2 linked regions of the Neodiprion lecontei genome follow. The protein of the gene in region 1 binds, or shares a complex with, the protein of each later gene. Links are inferred from orthologs where the notes say so. Each region holds a gene or a part of one and is shown in the gene's direction. Other genes may lie near its edges.

Region 1 (4,824 bases):
TCTAAAAGCACTGTTAGTATTTATTCTTCGCGTTTTGCCATTCACACCTCAATACATGAAATATTTCACAGGTTCAGTTATCTGATGTATTATTGAATCGACTTATAAATACACTTCTATCTAAATAATAATAGCAACCAAGTATAAAAAATTTGCAGAAATTAATTAGGTTTTTTGTAACAACAAACGTTCTCTAGATATGTATGGTATTGATATCGAATTTTTTTATCATTCTGGGCTGTTAATCATGTTCTCTTACGCTTTTGTGTCATAAGTGTGTTATTTCATGACGCGAAGACTCCAAGTTCACAAGTTTAATGCAAACATAAATTCATGGTCATTTTTTGAAAGTTACATTTTTGATTTGCATTATTTTTGTCAAGCAGCTAGAAGTTAGATTACTAACTTCAAACAATGCAGTACATATCTCATGATCATGTTTCCTAATTAATTACATTTTACTTCATTATTAGCAGAATTGAATGCGTTTTTTTGGTAAAGATGCCATGCTTACTGTATCTCCTCATTGAATATTCCTTATTGACAAGATACTTTAGTTTGTAAAGAAATACAAGGAAGAAAGAGTCGATAGTAACATGGTATAACGGTTTCTTCAATTGTTCTTAATGAACTGTATAGCCTGAATAATTACATATCAGGCAACGGTACTTTGACCAAACGAAATAAAATATCCCAAATCTGATTGTTGTCCCGCAAACTTCACGATTTACTATTTATCTGTCAGAGTTTTCGTTGAAGTGTTATGACATTACTCGAATGGGTATTGACACTAACATGTGTATCTTTAAAATAAGCACAACAATAACGAAATATGAGGATGCACTTATTGCCACCTAGTTTTTGACAAAGATTAAAAAAAAAAATTGGATCGTCAAAGGATATATCTAACAAGCCTTTAGAGCACATTGACAATATGTATACATTATTACATCGCTCTTTATTCATCCCTGTGAGAATGTTCTTCATTTAATAACGTTACAATTTAGTTAGTTATATCTTTGAGTATGGTAGACATAGTTTAACGTTTGCAGTAATGTAAGGGAAAAAAATTGATAATTTTACAGCGAAGGTTGAAGTAAGGAGACCATTTCAAATATCTCATTTTGAAGTGCTTATTTCAATTGTAATCATATTTTGAATAAAAAATGTTTAAAATAACATTCTATTGGCTTTTAATTGAACATGTACTCTTTACACATTCCACTCCCAAATATTATACCTGTAAATGTATGTGCATACGCTGAAAAACATCTCAAGTTATTGCTTGTTTAAAATTTTCGGTGCTAAATTAGACTGATTTTAATGGCAACCGATGGTGCTGAATTTGGATTGTTGCTGTACAATAAATCCAAGACAAAAAAATCCACAGCGGTCATAAGAAAAACAATGCTTTCGGAACGTAAACAACCCCTCTGCCCCAACCTACATGAATGACAAATATAGAGCGGGAATGTCTTTTAACTCTACCCTGAAGAGCCTACCACTCTAGAGCAAGCGAGAGCAATTTAGCCTTTGCTGGGGAACGATTGCAAATTGTCTACTTCGCCAATTGAGAGATAAAGAAACTGCACTGTTGCTTATACCTCTGCCGATGTCTCACGTAACGAAGTGGGGAAATTATAAATATAACTCACAAAATGACGTCGCATGGAGCCAATGATAGGACTCCGTATCGCCGTCTCGTAAACATATCGTTACAATGAGACTCCGCCTTAATAGACAGACACCCGCAACGCAGGCCACCGCAGATCCCGTAACAACACATGCCTGCAGTATTGGAAAATCGGTGATTAATGCGATTTTCTGTATTGTGGCGGTGTGCTTATTGCAAACCGTGTTCTATTAGTGAGTAGTTAAGTTTTGGTAATTATTGCGAGTAATTAGCAAGGTGCGATACGTCAGAGCAGTAAGTAAATGAAAATATTCGTCACATCTCTAATTGCGCCATTTCTGCATCTAACATAACCTGAATTGTTTGTATGCTATTGAATAAGATTCATCATTTTCAATATGTTATCCGTCTTTTCCATTAAATGACGAACACGTACGGCTTCCATGTGTTTTGTAAACAAGGATTGTTCGTAAATGTTGGCGGGGTCGGAGGTATGTAATAAGTGTGATGCAGCTATCTACTTGCGAATCACTCACAGGCATACAATCACTGCAAAATTCTTTTTCGTTGATATTTTTTCTCTATATACATATATAGGTATATATATCGTTGGCTCACGAGTGCTGATTGATGATATTTCACGTGTTGGCAATAATTTATAACCATCATATTTTATCAACATTTCTAATACGTATGTATCGTAATGAATTAATAGATCAGGAAATAAATAATCTCTTCTCTTACAAGTATTTTGAAGAATTACCAGGCATCTTTATTTATCACAAATATCAATGAGTGTCACTACTGCGGTAACAATCAGATGATCACGGTCATTTATATTAGTTGCAAGTATTCGGAATTATATTTACCTTTTACACTTATACATTTCTTTATTTGATGATTGATGCCATAATTTTGAACATTTTAGAAAGCTGCGGATAGTCCTTGTGCTAAATACGGTCATTAAAAATGTTTGGACAATCTGCTAATACTTCATTTGGTAAGTACCAATAAATTTTTTGTTCCTTATCTGCTTATTAATGCATTGGGTGCCTTTAACGAAATACTAAATTAATTTTATTTTAAACCCATCCATTATCCTGTTCTCGCTTGAACTGAGTCTGATCTAATCAGTTGTTGTTACTCTCCTTAAATATAAAGTGGTTACTTGAATAACTCCCTTTATTTAGTTGAAATTATGTGATACGCTCTGGAACTACAATAATGTAATTTGCATGAGTTTAATTTACGTCAGTAATTTCAAAGCAAAACGTTCTTTGAAACGTTATTACATGAAAATTGTCCTAATGAAACCGCAGTCAAACAACACAATCATATTTTCTTTACCACAATGTAAGAACTCATGTCATGCTTGATCCAATGCTCGGACAATATATCTATCACTTAATTATACCTGAACAGTTGAGTTAGGTGATAATAAAAATAAAATTTCAATTTTTTCAAATAATTACCACACGAAAGCCGTAGTAACCATTTTTTCATTAGAGCAAACTTACACTGAATCCCTTGCCGCCAGAGTCAGTCTGTGAAAGTAGTGGCCAACTACCAGCCCTGCACGTCCCAACATAAAGAACGTCTGTGCTGTATTAATTGTCACTTATTGATAAGAAATAGTTGTTTTAACAATCGAAATTTCATGCTTCAATTTTATTCTAAACATGGTATTCTGTTCATTGATGCCTGCATAAAACGTTATGCTATAATTTGATGTCTGTTAATGGTGAGCTGGTACCTTTGTACTTAAAAATTAATAAATATAGGAGGGTTTGGTGCAGGGACCCAGAGTAGCCCATTTAGTCAATCTCCATTTGGAAAACCCATCACAACAACGAGTTTTGGTGGTACAGCAGCACCAGTGTTCGGCAGTACCAACAATTCTCTGTTCGGCGCAAAGCCTGCGGGAGCGACGACAGGCGGACTATTTGGCAATACGGCAGCAACACCTGCTTTTGGACAACCAGCCACCAGTCAGTCATCATTTGGAGGTAATTTCTCAAAATGAATCGTCTATTATCAATTCTGTTTACTTTATATGATTAAGAACTCTGTATTGTTATAAACGTAGTTCTAGCGAAACTGTTTACAATATGATATCTGTCATATATTTCTGCTATGATAAAAAAAATAGACAAGAAGTTTCAAATTTACTTAATATTATATGATTACGTATTATAAATGAAAATTATCCAATCGTGCATAATTTCAGGATTCAGTAACCCAAATACGAACACCGGTCTCTTTGGTAATCAGCAAAATGCAAACACCAGTCTATTTGGAACAAGCAATCCTACCCCTGCTTTTGGTCAAGGAACTAAACCAGCAGGGTTTGGCTTTGGGAGTTCAGCTGGAACAGGATTATTTGGACAAACACAGCAACCTACTCAACAAACTGCACCGTCCCTTTTTGCACCATCCAATACAGCTGCAAATACCAGCTTATTTGGAGCTACAACTGGTAAATTAACCCGATGCTGATGAAAGTATTTCATTTAGGTATTCATCAAATCTTGTCAATCATATTTCATTGTACAGGATTTGCTGGAAATAATACTGCAGGTGGGATGAGTGGTACAGTGGTGAAATTTAACCCTCTTACTGGTACTGATACAATGATAAAAAATGGCGTTACCCAAACCATATCAACTCGACACTATTGCATTACTTGCATGAAGGAATACGAAGGAAAATCTCTGGAGGAATTGCGTTTAGAAGACTACACAGCAGGTCGTAAGGGACAAGTTCAAGGTAAGCTTTTCATCCTCGTATAAACTTTGGCAAACGGCAATGTTGACAACAACTTTTCAGTAACTCTTCAGTAACTTTAGGTGATATATGGCCGAAAATTTTTCGAAATACGGACTTGTACTTTATTTTTCAATTCTTCTGTGGCTAGACAGCCAAAAAACAAATTTCACACGCACATATATGAGATTGAGCAACAGAATCCAGCTGTATCTGAGCATATACTGAGAAAAAATACTGAAGATTCTGTAAAAGATTAGCTACACAGGCTTCGTACTTCCCATCAAAATTGGAGTTGAAGTAAAGATGAACATTCCTCTTTGAGAAATATAAATCCCAAAAAAAAATAGTAAATAGTAATAATACTAAGATTTTCGGAAACTAGAATATTGACATCTTTCAATACATTTCACGATTTATTTAGGATT
Region 2 (4,860 bases), on another chromosome or scaffold:
ACTGTATTAGAATCGACTACGAGCTGTGAACAGTTGCAGCACTTAGTAGATTTCTGATTTTGCTTGGGAGAACTGGGCGTCGAAACTGAGTGAATTGAATCCTTTTTTGCATCTTCAATTTGATTAGCAGAAAAATTTATTAATGATGTAGTACTTGGTTTGATGGACAAGTTTTCATCATGTGTCTCAGAAATTAACGACGACTCTTCTGGAACATTCGAAGGTCTTCCACTTTGCACATTTTTCTGATCAACAAGGACATGGTTTACAGGTTTATAAATCGAAGATCTTACTGCCGTTGAATTTCGCTTATTAATAAAAGAACTCGTTATGGATCCCGGTGGTAATAGTCTGCTGCATCTCAAATTTCCGTTAGGATTAACTGTGCTCGGTTTTCGAGTGGGCTCTGCTTCACGTGCTGCGATGCTATCAGGTAACCTTGGCACAATTTTGTTACCAATCAGAAGTCGACTTTTTCTTTTTAAATGATTTAAATTTTCATTTCGTTTCGAAGAATCGTATAAACTATCGAGTCTCTTTCTGGCATTGTTTTTGGGTGATTCAAACAGCTTATGAATATTACGAATTGGTTGCGGCAATGGTCGACCTGCAGAAGTAAGGAAACTTGTTACCATTACCAGTCTTAGTCATTTGGTACGGTACAAGAATGTAAGGTAAGCTACAATTTTTATAAAAGGAAAAGGAAAAAAATGAGACCTCCAAGAATCCATGTATGCAAGTTGAAAAGAAATTTTAAAAACTGAACAAACTTCTCTGCATTGAATATTTATTTATCTGTACCAGCTAGATATGAAACGTTCTATCGAGCAATACTGACCAGGAGTTTTGCGACTTGATCCAGTATTTCTGCGGTCCGATGGATCATTGAAATAAGCCATAGATATTCTCACTGGTTGGCATTTTCTCTCCTGTGTATTAATAACAAAATATACAGTTGTAACTATTAACTCTCGACAGTCAATTCTGTTAATATTACATTTGTAGTGTACATGTATAAGAGTGTGTCTAGAGCATTCGCAAAGTGTAAGTGAGCCGCAAGTCAAAGGTCGATGGGACTCTGGAATGTATATAGCAGACAGTCCAAATATAGAATTCGAACTATAAACACCATCTATTCAATTATTTCTCGTCATTATCTACACCATAACATGAAATTGAAAACATACTTGAACGTGACAGAAAATAAGAACAAAAACAAACATGGAAAATCTATAACCTACGCATCTATTTGATAGTCAGCTTTGAAAGTAAAAAATTGTATATTATTAACTCTTACTCTGGATATTTCAGCAAAATTGACTTTATAAAAATGGATTCTGTTAACATTTAAAATTTCCTGAATTTTAAACCCACCGATCGAGGTTTGGCTATTTGAGCCATAGCAGCTTCAGATGTTTCCGGTCCAGTGTGACCTGGCACAAGGTCACGGATACTAAATATTGGATATTTTTTGCCGCTGGATTCTGAAAAAGGTTCCATAATTATTTCCGACGCTCAATGAGAGGAAACAAAACAGATTAACGTCGGTGAACTAGTTCGATTATTTTACGTTTAAAAAATATATTCTAGTATTGAATACGTTATACTCACTTGATGTGTAACATCGAGCATTGTTCGATAGATTCATTGTCATATTTTGTACTGACATTGTTCTTCTCGTTGATTAAACCATTCCTACTGATCTGCTCATTTATACAATATATATGTAATTTACACCAGCTGCAACCGTTCAGAATTCAAACCTCACCTAACCTAACCTAATCCGATGCCCGTAGAATGGGAAGGGAATATAACCATAGGCTGAGTTGTTACGGTGCCAAGTTCTTGGCCAATAGGAATGCCGGTGAAGCAGGGAACCAACGCCACCAAGTGCACGCTGCATGCGAATTACCTATTTTATTGGCATTCCTATTGGTTAGGAACTAAAATGCAAAGCTGCGCACGCCATTTGCGCACAACGCAATCAGATATTGTAGCGGCATGTGTAGATTTGAAAACCACGAACGGAAGGTTATGGAAGTTTTTCGATTTTCCACCCTAGTTTTTCACGTACGTTTTCACGATCCACTAACAATCTTGGATGTAATAGAATATGTTTTAAAAGAAATTTGGTATGAGACACGAATCGCCAACTATCTCTTCTTGAAATATCAACATCATAGATGGGATTCGGATCGATAATAATGTTACCGACAATACGTCTCACCGTCGGCATGTTTTAACAGGCTATACCGGTACTAAAGAACACGACTATGGATTGATATTCAGAACCATTCCATAACCTAAAAAATAAACTTGATAAACTGTGAATTGTAATCTGTCAACACGGTATAGACAGAACGTATTTATATCTGGAATTTCGCGAGAAAACAACTTTCAACAGATGTGATTGGCAGTTCTTTATTAACCTGGTTACCGAATATAAAAATCTATCATGGATTCATACATAATGCAGGTAAAAAAATTGTTCAACCGCCCATCCAATCACTGGTTAATATCAACTGAAAGATGTGAGGTTATAATTTCTCTATTTACAGCTTCGGCGCGCTTGGTTGAATCAGGACGGTGACGTTCTGGCTGTAAGTACATTTGTAATTTTCCCATAATCGTCACTATGCATTCGAAGATTTTCCTGATTCATACCTGATGTTATTTAATCCAGGATCTGCTGTCGCTTAGTCATAATCATGCGACAAATCCTCAACTTGGAAGCGATGCTGCAATGACAAAAGCAATGGAACACTTATCAGCACCCTTTGACGACCTGGTTTTACACCATATAAAGTAAGTAGAATATTTTTCAGAGATATTATTAAGCAAAAATAATTAAATTTTTGATAAACATTTTCCAGGGTCATATCGTCATTAAATAAAGACGATGCATTAACGTCGTATGCTCATCAGAGTGCAGCTATTCAGTCACTGGCAAAGATACTCCAGTTACAAAAAGACGAGAATTGGATGTTGCCAGTAATGAATTCCATGTGCTTAGATCTCAGGCGTCTAGCCCTTAAAGCTGAAGCATCCAAGTTTGGTAAAAATCAAAAGTCCGGTGAGGTGCTTGAAAAATGTGCTGAGTGCCTAATGAGCTGTTTTCGAGTTTGTGCAGCTGACAACAGGAACTCTGAAGATGACACGAAAAGATGGGGAATGCTCGCATTGGTTAACCAACTGTGGAAGGTCTATTTTCGCATAAACAAACTCGATTTATGCAAACCTCTAATCAGGATCATTGAATCGTCCGGTCTTAAGGATCAGTTCGCGCTCGCGCAAAAAATTACGTATAAATTTTTTATGGGACGCAAAGCCATTTTCGATAGTGATTACACAGCTGGTAAGCGTCAATAGTCAGTTGCAGGCCTTTCCACTGACAGTCACTTTTAAACTGGAAATGTAGCTTATTGTTCATTTTTTTTAAATTACTCAGCATTAAAAAATGTTTCACTTATGCTTTTCTAAATCAAAAAATGTTGAAAATGTATAATACAGATGATGTTAATTTTATCTAACTGGTAACGATGTTTTTAGAATGAAATTAAAGAGTGGATTTATTTAATGCCTGTTATTAAATTGTGTTACAGCGGACGAATATCTGACCTACGCTTTTGTCCGTTGCCACAAAGAATCAGCAAAGAACAAACGTTTAATTCTGACGTATTTAGTTCCCGTCAAAATGCTGCTGGGCTATATGCCAAAAAAATCATTGTTAGAAAAGTACAATCTATTGGAATTTTGGGAGTTGGTCGAAGCTGTTAAACGAGGAAACCTACGCAGCTTGGAGGAAGTGATGAACAAACATGAGATCTTCTTTATTAGTGCTGGGATTTACTTAATAGTTGAAAAGCTGAAGCTCATTACGTATAGAAATTTGTTCAAAAAGGTTTATCTCGTTTTAAATACCCATCAAATACCCGTAGCCAGTCTTTTGGCTGCTCTTGAAATGCACGGTGTTGACGATGTAGATATGGACGAAACGGAATGCCTTGTAGCCAATTTAATTTACGAGGGTAAAATCAGGGGTTACATTTCTCATCAGCACAAAAAATTGGTCATTTCAAAACAAAATCCGTTCCCGCAACTGTCATCGTTGAATTCAAATTGAATAAAAATACGATAATCAAATTCTGTGAATTTTGAAGTGGATTACGATACTATAATTAATATCGTTAAGGAAACCGCTGTTGTGTATACATACCTTTTATACGAAACCCGTAATTGTAGGTATGAATTAAATATTCTTGTTATACAAGTACGCATTTCTATTGTTTCTCTCTTGTCCAACGTCAGAAGATGCGTCAGACCATTTGCCAATGAAATAAAAGCTAATGGTATGATAATACGAATTTTAGAATACTATCAATATATATTCGTGAAGAGTACACGTTCGAAAATTCAAATTATGTAACTGACTTCGAGCTTAAGCATATTTTTTCGCAATCGTGAAGATAATTTAAAAGACAAGTCTCGAAAGGGGGAGGATTACTTTAACTGGTATAAAATAATCTGTCAAGTTTTTTATATTTTTTTGTTACTTAACAATTCAAATAGAGAAGATTAAAAATTTTCTTCGATGCATAAAGGCGTCATAAAAGTATATTTGAATCTGACACTAGACTCAAACGCGTGTGTACTGCATGGCAATGTAGGCAATACAGAAATTCTTTACGTAATAACGTAAGAAAATTGACGAAAGTATTTGTCTGTCGTTTGTATAATAGGGCATAATAAAGGGTCAGTTTTATCGTGATAATTGATCGTATAAATAAGAGTTATTAAATTTGTGAAAATCGTTAAAATGACGTACTATTGATTGAGGGCCTTATTGGTTCTTGGGCCTTC

Evidence for each region. The genes of interacting proteins can lie anywhere in the genome.
Region 2: nuclear pore complex protein Nup98-Nup96 (region 1) and PCI domain-containing protein 2 share a complex: the UniProt entries of both Drosophila melanogaster proteins name them as parts of the nuclear pore complex. The link is inferred for Neodiprion lecontei from reciprocal best matches to the Drosophila melanogaster genes Nup98-96 and PCID2.

Annotation. Positions count from the first base shown.
Region 1 is NC_060263.1:23,590,622-23,595,445, forward strand, and holds the start of nuclear pore complex protein Nup98-Nup96, read left to right. Parts: upstream 1-1,732; 5' UTR 1,733-1,927; intron 1,928-1,973; exon of another isoform or gene 1,974-2,124; intron 2,125-2,380; exon of another isoform or gene 2,381-2,478; intron 2,479-2,561; 5' UTR 2,562-2,602; coding exon 2,603-2,633; intron 2,634-3,414; coding exon 3,415-3,639; intron 3,640-3,860; coding exon 3,861-4,109; intron 4,110-4,186; coding exon 4,187-4,399; intron 4,400-4,824. UniProt on the Drosophila melanogaster protein: Part of the nuclear pore complex (NPC). Required for MAD import as part of the Nup107-160 complex and required for nuclear export of Moe probably via its association with Rae1. Plays a role in nuclear mRNA export.
Region 2 is NC_060264.1:4,179,507-4,184,366, reverse strand, and holds PCI domain-containing protein 2, read left to right. Parts: upstream 1-2,020; 5' UTR 2,021-2,455; coding exon 2,456-2,476; intron 2,477-2,558; coding exon 2,559-2,600; intron 2,601-2,683; coding exon 2,684-2,805; intron 2,806-2,873; coding exon 2,874-3,355; intron 3,356-3,602; coding exon 3,603-4,123; 3' UTR 4,124-4,270; downstream 4,271-4,860. Other genes in the region: uncharacterized protein LOC107227510, read right to left, coding at 1-607, 839-929, 1,375-1,484, 1,612-1,669. UniProt on the Drosophila melanogaster protein: Required for the export of nuclear mRNAs and involved in mRNA trafficking in the cytoplasm.